2 linked regions of the Rattus norvegicus genome follow. Each later gene encodes a partner of the first gene's protein in a complex. Each region holds a gene or a part of one and is shown in the gene's direction. Other genes may lie near its edges.

Evidence for each region.
Region 2: the proteins of Cast (region 1) and Capns1 are in contact, whole or in part, in a crystal structure (PDB 3BOW), measured with the Rattus norvegicus proteins. Residues at the interface, in NP_445747.2 of Rattus norvegicus: Pro652, Ile653, Asp654, Ala655, Leu656, Ser657, Asp659, Leu660, Asp661; in NP_058814.1 of Rattus norvegicus: Phe103 (codon at 3,954), Leu106 (codon at 3,963), Gln109 (codon at 3,972), Leu110 (codon at 3,975), Ile125 (codon at 4,151), Lys128 (codon at 4,160), Val129 (codon at 4,163), Arg132 (codon at 4,172), His133, Leu136, Phe166, Trp170, Lys174, Gln177, Lys181.

Annotation. Positions count from the first base shown.
Region 1 is NC_086020.1:5,715,697-5,719,508, reverse strand, and holds part of Cast (calpastatin), read left to right. Parts: intron 1-616; coding exon 617-721; intron 722-2,134; coding exon 2,135-2,227; intron 2,228-3,576; coding exon 3,577-3,612; intron 3,613-3,812.
Region 2 is NC_086019.1:94,579,185-94,583,674, reverse strand, and holds the start of Capns1 (calpain small subunit 1), read left to right. Parts: upstream 1-1,453; 5' UTR 1,454-1,491; intron 1,492-2,390; 5' UTR 2,391-2,405; coding exon 2,406-2,620; intron 2,621-3,598; coding exon 3,599-3,632; intron 3,633-3,896; coding exon 3,897-3,986; intron 3,987-4,117; coding exon 4,118-4,175; intron 4,176-4,279; coding exon 4,280-4,344; intron 4,345-4,490. UniProt on the Homo sapiens protein: Regulatory subunit of the calcium-regulated non-lysosomal thiol-protease which catalyzes limited proteolysis of substrates involved in cytoskeletal remodeling and signal transduction. Essential for embryonic development.

The DNA of each region.
Region 1 (3,812 bases):
GTTTCTTCCCCTAAAATACCTTTCATTAATTTCTTCTGTTTAGCTTTAATGGTCTTCCTGGAGGTAGGGACAATCCCAACTAGTTCAGAACTTCTCTGAAGTCTTTTTGTGAACCCTCATAATTTGTCAGAGACAACCTGTTCAATCAATGACACCATATTTCTGTGGGTTTTTGTGCTCCAAGAAATAGCAGGATAATGGTACTGAGTTTTATGGTGTACTTAGTAATGTGTGCCCCTCCCCCACCTCCATCATGATCTCCTGAAAACTTGTGCTAGCTTACTACATCAGTGGATTCAAATTAAGTTTGATTTCTTAATGGAAGGAAAGTGCAGTGTTTGTTTATGGAACCTCTAGGTAAGATTTACCTCATTCATTGGGTACAGCATTGATACTTCCACTAAGACTTCTTTAACCTTTCATGATGCAGCTGGGTAGGAGAGGCAGATGCTTTCACTACTCTCTGTCTCTTCCGCTGTCAGCATATCAGTTCTCTGACATTGACTGGCCCCATGACTTACTCCTAGATGTCCATGTTAAAAAGATGGCTTTGCTGGGTGACTTCCCTGAACAATTTGGCCTGCTTATAACTAATTCAGAATTATTTACCTTTTAGAGGAGAGACAAAGAACTCGATGATGCCTTGGATGAACTTTCTGACAGTCTTGGACAAAGACAGCCTGATCCAGATGAGAACAAACCACTAGATGATAAAGTAAAGGTAAAAGATCTTCCCTTGCCCTCCACAGAGAAGGAAAAAGACATTGGTATTATCTGGAGGTAGCGAACAGCTAGCCTGCTCCATCTAATTTTCCTGTTTTAGTGCTGTAGGTAATATTTCTCTTTTTCTCACTGATAAATGTTTCTGGAACAGATTCCATTGTAGGAAACATCCTGTTTATGAAATGAAAGCAGAGCTATGTTTTAAGTTTTTTCTCTCCCAATATTTTTTCTTGGTCTTATTTGGAAATAAGGACATACTACCCAAAAGGCATACAATTTTAGTGGATGTACTTTATATTCATAGTGGCAGAGATCACACACCTAGCACAGGTTTCCCCTGCCCCTCTTTTGCAAGCATAACTGAATCTGAATTCAAACTGTGTGTGAGAACTTTGACTCTTCAGAGGTATCTCTAGAAGGACAAAATGAACTGTCTCCTACATGATGTGTACAAACATGTATATTTAAGATAATATTTAACAAGCCATTTCAACTGACTTGATAATATTTTAGAATCAAGAAGTAACTGGAGTGGGGACGATGGCCTTACAACATGAGTACAGTCCTTGGTCATGTAGTGTTAGTATCTGTGATTTCAGCCTGGACAGAGATGGGAGTCACAGACAGGAGAGCTATAAGAAGTCTGTGGATCAGCTAGCCTGTCATGTGCATTGGGAAAACAACAGATCGTATATCAAGCCTAATGAAAGTTGAAAATGACATTAGAGATATACATGCTGTGGCAAGTGCATGTGTATAGGTGTATGCACACAAGTCGTACACATAAGAAAAATAATGAAAATAATAGAAGAAAAGTAATGTAACGAGCATCTGAAACAATGGGACAAAGACAGGACACTGTCATTGTCATTCTATCATTATTATATAAATATTGAGATTAACTTACCATATATTTTAAAACCTAAATTTTAATGCTGCACAGAGGTGTATCCTTACTCCATAGAGACCAGGGAACCTCACAGGTAAAGATACCAGGACGGGTGTGGCTTGCAGCAGGTATGCTCAGGCTTCAGTGTCTCCAGTCTTTCTCCTTTGCAGTGCCTTAAAATGGAGCTATAAATATTATCTGTCTACCAAGGCTTTGGAACCTGACTTTTATTATGTAAAGCAAAATCGAATCAGAAAAATATTTTATCCCTTTGGGCTTTTAACTACCAGTAAGGTTTCTGAGGGTTTCTGTTTGATCCTTTCAGTTGAAAATTCACAAATTTGGCTCACGTATAGAAAAATAAGGAGTCACAATTTTCATCAGCTCTCTGATTATCATCTATTTTGTTGTTCCTTATGTTTTGCTTCATGAAACTATAAAAACTGTAGTTTCTATACTTTGGATTGTAGTTTGTAAGTAAAGAAGGATGTGAACATTCCTTTATCTCTTCAATGTTTGTAGGAAAAAATCAAAGCAGAGCATAGCGAGAAACTGGGAGAAAGAGACGACACCATCCCCCCTGAATATAGGCATCTCCTGGATAATGATGGGAAGGTAAAACTAAGGCAAACAGCCTAGATTAGGTCATTGCTCTCAAACTTTTCAATTATAACTTCCCAGAAACTGAATAGAGGCTGAAGCCGCTATTTATCTAGCAATAAAAGCACATCATGACTGAGTACTTTTAATGTCCCAGAGGTATCAAACAGGCTTTCTTAGCCCTCTGTTGTATCTACTTGAGATGGTCTTATTAGATATTCATGTTTGGGTCCTACCATAAAGACACTTGAATAATACTAGGTATAATGATGATTCCAAGAAATATATAATTAAATTTTTTAAAGAAAAGGCTCTAAAACTGATGGAATCAATGAGATGTCAAAGAAGCAGTCTGTGTGGGGAAAGCAGAGGTGGGATGGTACAAGAACTGAGAGGTCAAATAAACACAACAGCCAACATTCCCTTCTCCACAGGAGCACAAGCAGAAACCTGGAGTGCAGGCAAAACCCTCTCTGGTGGGGTTGGGGATTTAGCTCAGTGGTAGAGTGCTTGCCTAGCTGGGTTCGGTCCTGAAAAAAAAAAAAACCCTCTCTGGAGGCACCAGGTCTATCTCCCCATCACATAGGCCAATCTGACTGCCTCCCCTTATCTGTTTGATTTACAAGAGCTTTAGAGCTGTTAGAAGATGAATCATTCTTCCCAGGTCTGCTCATCAAATGGAAACAAGGGAGTCCAAGTTCCATCAGTATACTCAGATGCCATGGGTATGGCAGGCTCTCCCTGGCCAAAGCCTAGGAGTCCTTGTTCCCTATAAATCTGCCTCCTGCTATCAGTCACCATCCTCTATGTTGATATTGCCACATCTTGTTTGTCATCATTGGAGGAGCTTCATTTATTGCTCTTGCCTTAAGAACTTTGTAAGTTAGTGGTACTTGCAATTCCTGCCTGAAAATAATCTTTAAATTTTTTGAAACTGTAATGAGCATTAGGTGTGGTGGAGGCCTACATCCAGTTATTTGGAAGTATAAAGAAACATTGGAAGTTCATCCTGGGCAACTTAGATTTTGTTTTTTGTTTTAAATGAAACAACAACAAAATAAACAAACTGGAATGTATTAGTCTCTGGGTTCATTCCCAGGACCACCCAACCCAACCAAACAAAAACCCAGGGTATCTGGTGGGAATTCATGATAATACCTGGTACCAGAAAATTCCTACATAGTCTCTGTACTTCCAGAATCAGATCTTTGCATCAAGCTACTGAAATGGCTATGAAAGTGAAGATTTGGTAGAAATCTGGGTTAGGAGCCTAGTTCATCAGTTTTGTATAATAGATGCTCACTCTATGACTGAGTGAACCTAAACAGAACTGTGGTTAACCAAAAAACTACCTTGTTTTCAAGGACAAACCAGAGAAGCCACTGACAAAGAACACAGAGGTAAATACTATAATGTATACTTTCATTGTTTTCATTATACATGTAGTTTTCTTTCAAATTTTAAAGAAATTAAAATTTAAGTATCTCTGACCCGTGCCAATGTATGCAGATAAGCCTATATTACTAACTTTAATTTATTTCCCACAAGGAAAAAGTAATAAGTAAAAGTAGTACCAGATTTCTAAGTAAGAAAACTTGTA
Region 2 (4,490 bases), on another chromosome or scaffold:
AGACGCCTGAGCTCCCATCCAAAGCGGAGGACACAGACAGTCAAATCCAAACACAGGAGTATTTGTAGGCAGAGGGCAGGGCTTGTGCCAGTGAGTTGAGCCTGAGGTCAGACTGCTTAGTGTGGCAGAGGGGTGTGGCAGAGGGGTGTGGCAGAGGGGTGTGGCAGAGAGGGAATCCACATTAGTCATCACCAAATCATTTATCCGCTCTGGCTTAGATCTGGGTCACCACCCTCTGTGATCCCGCCTTTCAGAGCTTCCAGTTTCGCTAAGGTTAAGTCTTGCTTCCCACACACACAGGCCTGAGCAACAATTAACCTGGCTTGCTCCCAGCAAGCCCTTAGGTGGTGTTAGTGCCATTGCAATTTTGTCCGTTGAGATCTTATTTGACTGATGATCACATTAAATTATTGGAGATTCTTTGAACAGGTAAGGCAGACTGGTTGTTTAACCTCAGTTTACCTATATATAGAATGGGGACAATAACAGCGTCTGTCCCACAGTCCTGCCGCGAGGGCACACAACCTGGTGAGCGCAGAGCACGGAGGAACTGGCAGTTACTTGTCGATATTGCTTAAGGATGGGCAAGAGTAAATGAGCTGAGGGATCGGGGTGAGCTCCTAGCTGAGGGAACAATATGGTGACCTGGGGACTAACAGGAGAGCTGCCATTTTCCCTGTATTTATCACTTAATTCTGGGGCTCATCCAGGGGAACCTGTGTCTAACGTCCTCGAGGGTCTCATGTAGCCGCCCCCACCTCCAAGGGCTGGTGTTACAGGTGTGCGTCATCACGCCTGGCTGTGTTCCCTCCTTACAGATGAGGAAATCATTACTCAGAGACACCAGGTCACTGTTTTAGGGATGAGCAATACAGGCTCAAACCAAGGTTTACATAGTCCCAACGGAGCGGCCAGACAGCCAGACTAGAAGCCAAAAGGCGACCTGGGTGGGAGGCACAAACTGAAGGTAAACTAAAGATTTAGAGTCCTAGCATTGGAGAAGCAGAAGCAGGAGGATTGCTTCGAGTTTGAGGTGAGCCAGGGCTTTAGATCAGCTTAGGGTGTTGAACAAAACTCTATCTCAAAGTGCACGATGAATGAATGAATGACAATAACTGAAGTCCTTTTTTGCAACTATATACTGCAAAGGTGACCAGGTAGCCTGGATCTAGTTCCTGGAGGCTCCAGTGCCTGGGCGTTAGAATGGTCTACTCGTACTCATAGCTATTAAATCTGGAGAGCGTTGAATTACCAGCAGTGTGTGTACGGGGAGGGCTGAGCTAGGTAGAGACACAATCATAGCCCGCTACGTAGGGCGGGGCCTCCTGCGCAGGCGCAGTCTGCAATGGCGGCTCTAGGACCGCGCGGACCGCGGCTGGGTGGCGAGCCGGCTTTAACCCGGAGCTGCCTGAGTCACCGGCCCCGCCCTCCAGAGCCGGACACAGCGGGAGGCCCAGCGGCGGGCGAGCAAGACCGCGGACCGCCGGATCCGTAAGTGAGACGGGGCGCTTCAGTCCAGCACCCCTGCACCCCGCTGCCCGGGATCCGCTGTCCTCAGATCTGGCGAGACCCTAAAGTCGTGGCCTTGGGGGTCTTAGGACCCGTGTTCTCAGATCCGAACAACCAGGCCTGTCAGACGCTGGTCATTCCCTCCAGAGCACTCCTTGCCATCCCGGAACTCAGGATCAAAAATATAACCCCAAAGATCAGAGAGGCACCCATAAATTATCTGGGGCGTCTAGAACCACGATCCGAGATCCTGGTTCCAATTTGCGGTGTGTAGAACTCCGTTATCCGGGATCCTCCGGGCGCACAGCCATAATTTTAGGCCGGAGTCCCACAGATCCCTAATGACAGTGTAGTTCCTCTGTCGAAACTACCTGAATGTCCTAATCCACATTAGGGACTTCCTGGACTCAGCCCTGGGTCACCCCTACCCTGAGCTCAATTCTGGAAGGCCTGGATCTGAGACACGTCCGGTATACCTTACCCAACTGGGGAGTGGGGGTCCTTACATGGGGAATCCCCTGTTTCCCCGCTGCCTCAAGACAGGGGTAATCCAGGCTGGCGCTGTAGCCGAGGTTGGCCTTGAACTGATCCTCCAGCCTCAGCCTCCCAATTTCTGGGATTACAGTTGAGCGCCACCACGCTCGTCCAGCTCTACCCCTGTCCTCATTGACCACGTTTGCAGTCAAGCCTGGGCCAGGGTACCTGCTAGACCCTAGGAGGTTTCGCACCTTCCTGTCACCTGTCCAGATTCTGCCCCCATCCCGAGGCCTCTGTTCTGTCCCCAATCTAATTGCCGGAAATGCTTTCTTTTTTTTTCTTTTTGCGGGAAGGGCTGGGTTCTTGGCAAGACGACTACCTGACCCACCCCCTTTTCTTTACAGGACTCTGCTGCAAACATGTTCTTGGTGAATTCGTTCTTGAAGGGCGGCGGTGGCGGTGGGGGAGGCGGGGGTCTGGGCGGGGGCCTGGGCAATGTGCTCGGAGGCCTGATCAGCGGAGCTGCTGGAGGCGGCGGCGGTGGAGGCGGCGGTGGCGGCATGGGACTGGGAGGAGGTGGCGGAGGCGGTGGAACAGCCATGCGTATCCTGGGCGGAGTCATTAGCGCCATCAGGTAAGGCGGGGCCTAAAGGGGCAGGGTGGGCCAAATTATAAAGAAGCTCACTTAGAGGTCCGACATGGGAATCCTAATTAGGTTGGGCTGGTCCAAACTGGAAAAGTGGCCCTAAGGGGATCCCAACGAGACTGGTGTCACTTTTTAAAAACTGGGTTAGTAAACTTGCTTCTGTGGGTCAATAAATAGGATGCAGTTTCTTGGGGGTGGGGAGGAGGTACTCTTCTGTGTTTGGGGAAGGTATGATCCTATAAGACTGTATCCAGTCTTCACTGGGGGCGGAGCCAGTGGATCTGAAGTTGCTCCATGATTTAAGATTTGACCTAAGTGGAGCTTGCTGTTATAGGAGAGATCAGAACCCCCGAAAGAAGAAATGGTCCAGAGAAGGTTGTGTGGGGTCGGGAGCTGATTGGGTTGGTGGATAAAAATCCTAGCTGGGGTAAGAGCAGGTGACTGACACCTGATTATCTTTGGCGATCCAAGCAGTGATTCCTGGGAGGAGTAGGTGTTGATGGGGGAGAGGTTGGGAAGCTAGATAATCTGCAAAAGGAGCGATGGAGTCAGGCTCTGGACAAAGACCTGACCTGAGGAAGATAGAGGCATAGGGGAAACTGGTGCAGACCGACCCCTTAAGAAGCGAGTTCTTCAAGGGGCGGGCCCTGTTAAGTTTGGTGGGTTTTCGGGATTTTGATTGGGGCTAAGATGCTTCTGACATTGTGATTGGTGGGTGTTCCTGGGGCAAGGTAAGGATTCTTCCGTGGGGTGGGCCCTTGGGAGGTGGGAGGGGTTGGCCTGATGGAGGAAAAGGAGGAGCCGCAGAAAGCTGTTGATTGGGCCAGGTGAGAACGACGAGATAGACGAGAGGAGGAGGGACCCCTTAAGGAAGAGGAGGGCTGGAGTTTGAGGGGTTGACTGACCGTTCTGCCGCCCGTTGGAGGCTCTGCCCCCATGCGCTAACTCACCCTTGTCTCCCCTCAGCGAGGCTGCTGCGCAGTACAACCCGGAGCCCCCGGTAAGCGGCCCTAGAGACCCTTCCTCCCTAGGCCTGTTGCCCGCATTATCTTACCCATTCCTATGTATAAGGCTCCCCTTCCTTCCTTGGAAAATTCCCCTGCCGGCAAGAATGTCCTTTTTGAGGGCCCCTATTGTCTCAGCCACGCTACTTGCTACACTCACCTCAAACTGCCCACCCCTCCCTGACTTTTCCCTGGGATCTTGGGTATGAGGAGAGAGACGTGTTTCTCCACGTCTGTTCTGAAATCGCTTCTCTCTGCAGCCCCCACGTAGCCATTACTCTAATATTGAGGCCAACGAGAGTGAAGAGGAACGTCAGTTCAGGAAACTTTTTGTCCAGCTGGCTGGAGACGTAAGTATACTGCGTGGCTGCTCCACGGTGTTACCTGACTGTGAAAAACCGGAAGTTCCCACCCCGTTTTGTTTTATGGTATCCAGACCTCTTTCCATCTCCCTTGAACCATACTTAACTTCTGCCATCAGGACATGGAGGTCAGCGCTACAGAACTCATGAATATCCTCAACAAGGTCGTGACCCGACGTAAGTGACCAGGGTCAGGGAGTGATGAAGGTGTAGAGGCGTATGGGCTGGGATGATCTTTGACCTCTGACCTTCAACCTGTCCACCCATCTAACCCCCCTCAGACCCAGATCTGAAAACTGATGGGTTCGGCATTGACACTTGTCGGAGCATGGTGGCTGTTATGGATGTATCCTTTTGGGGCCAGTCTGGAGGATGTCTTGGGTGAAGAGGGTGTTTTCTGGGAGTATGTTGAGGACAGACGAGGTGAAGCCTTCATACCTGAGGACACAGGCCTACCTACATGACACCACCAGAACTTTACCTGGATTAGGA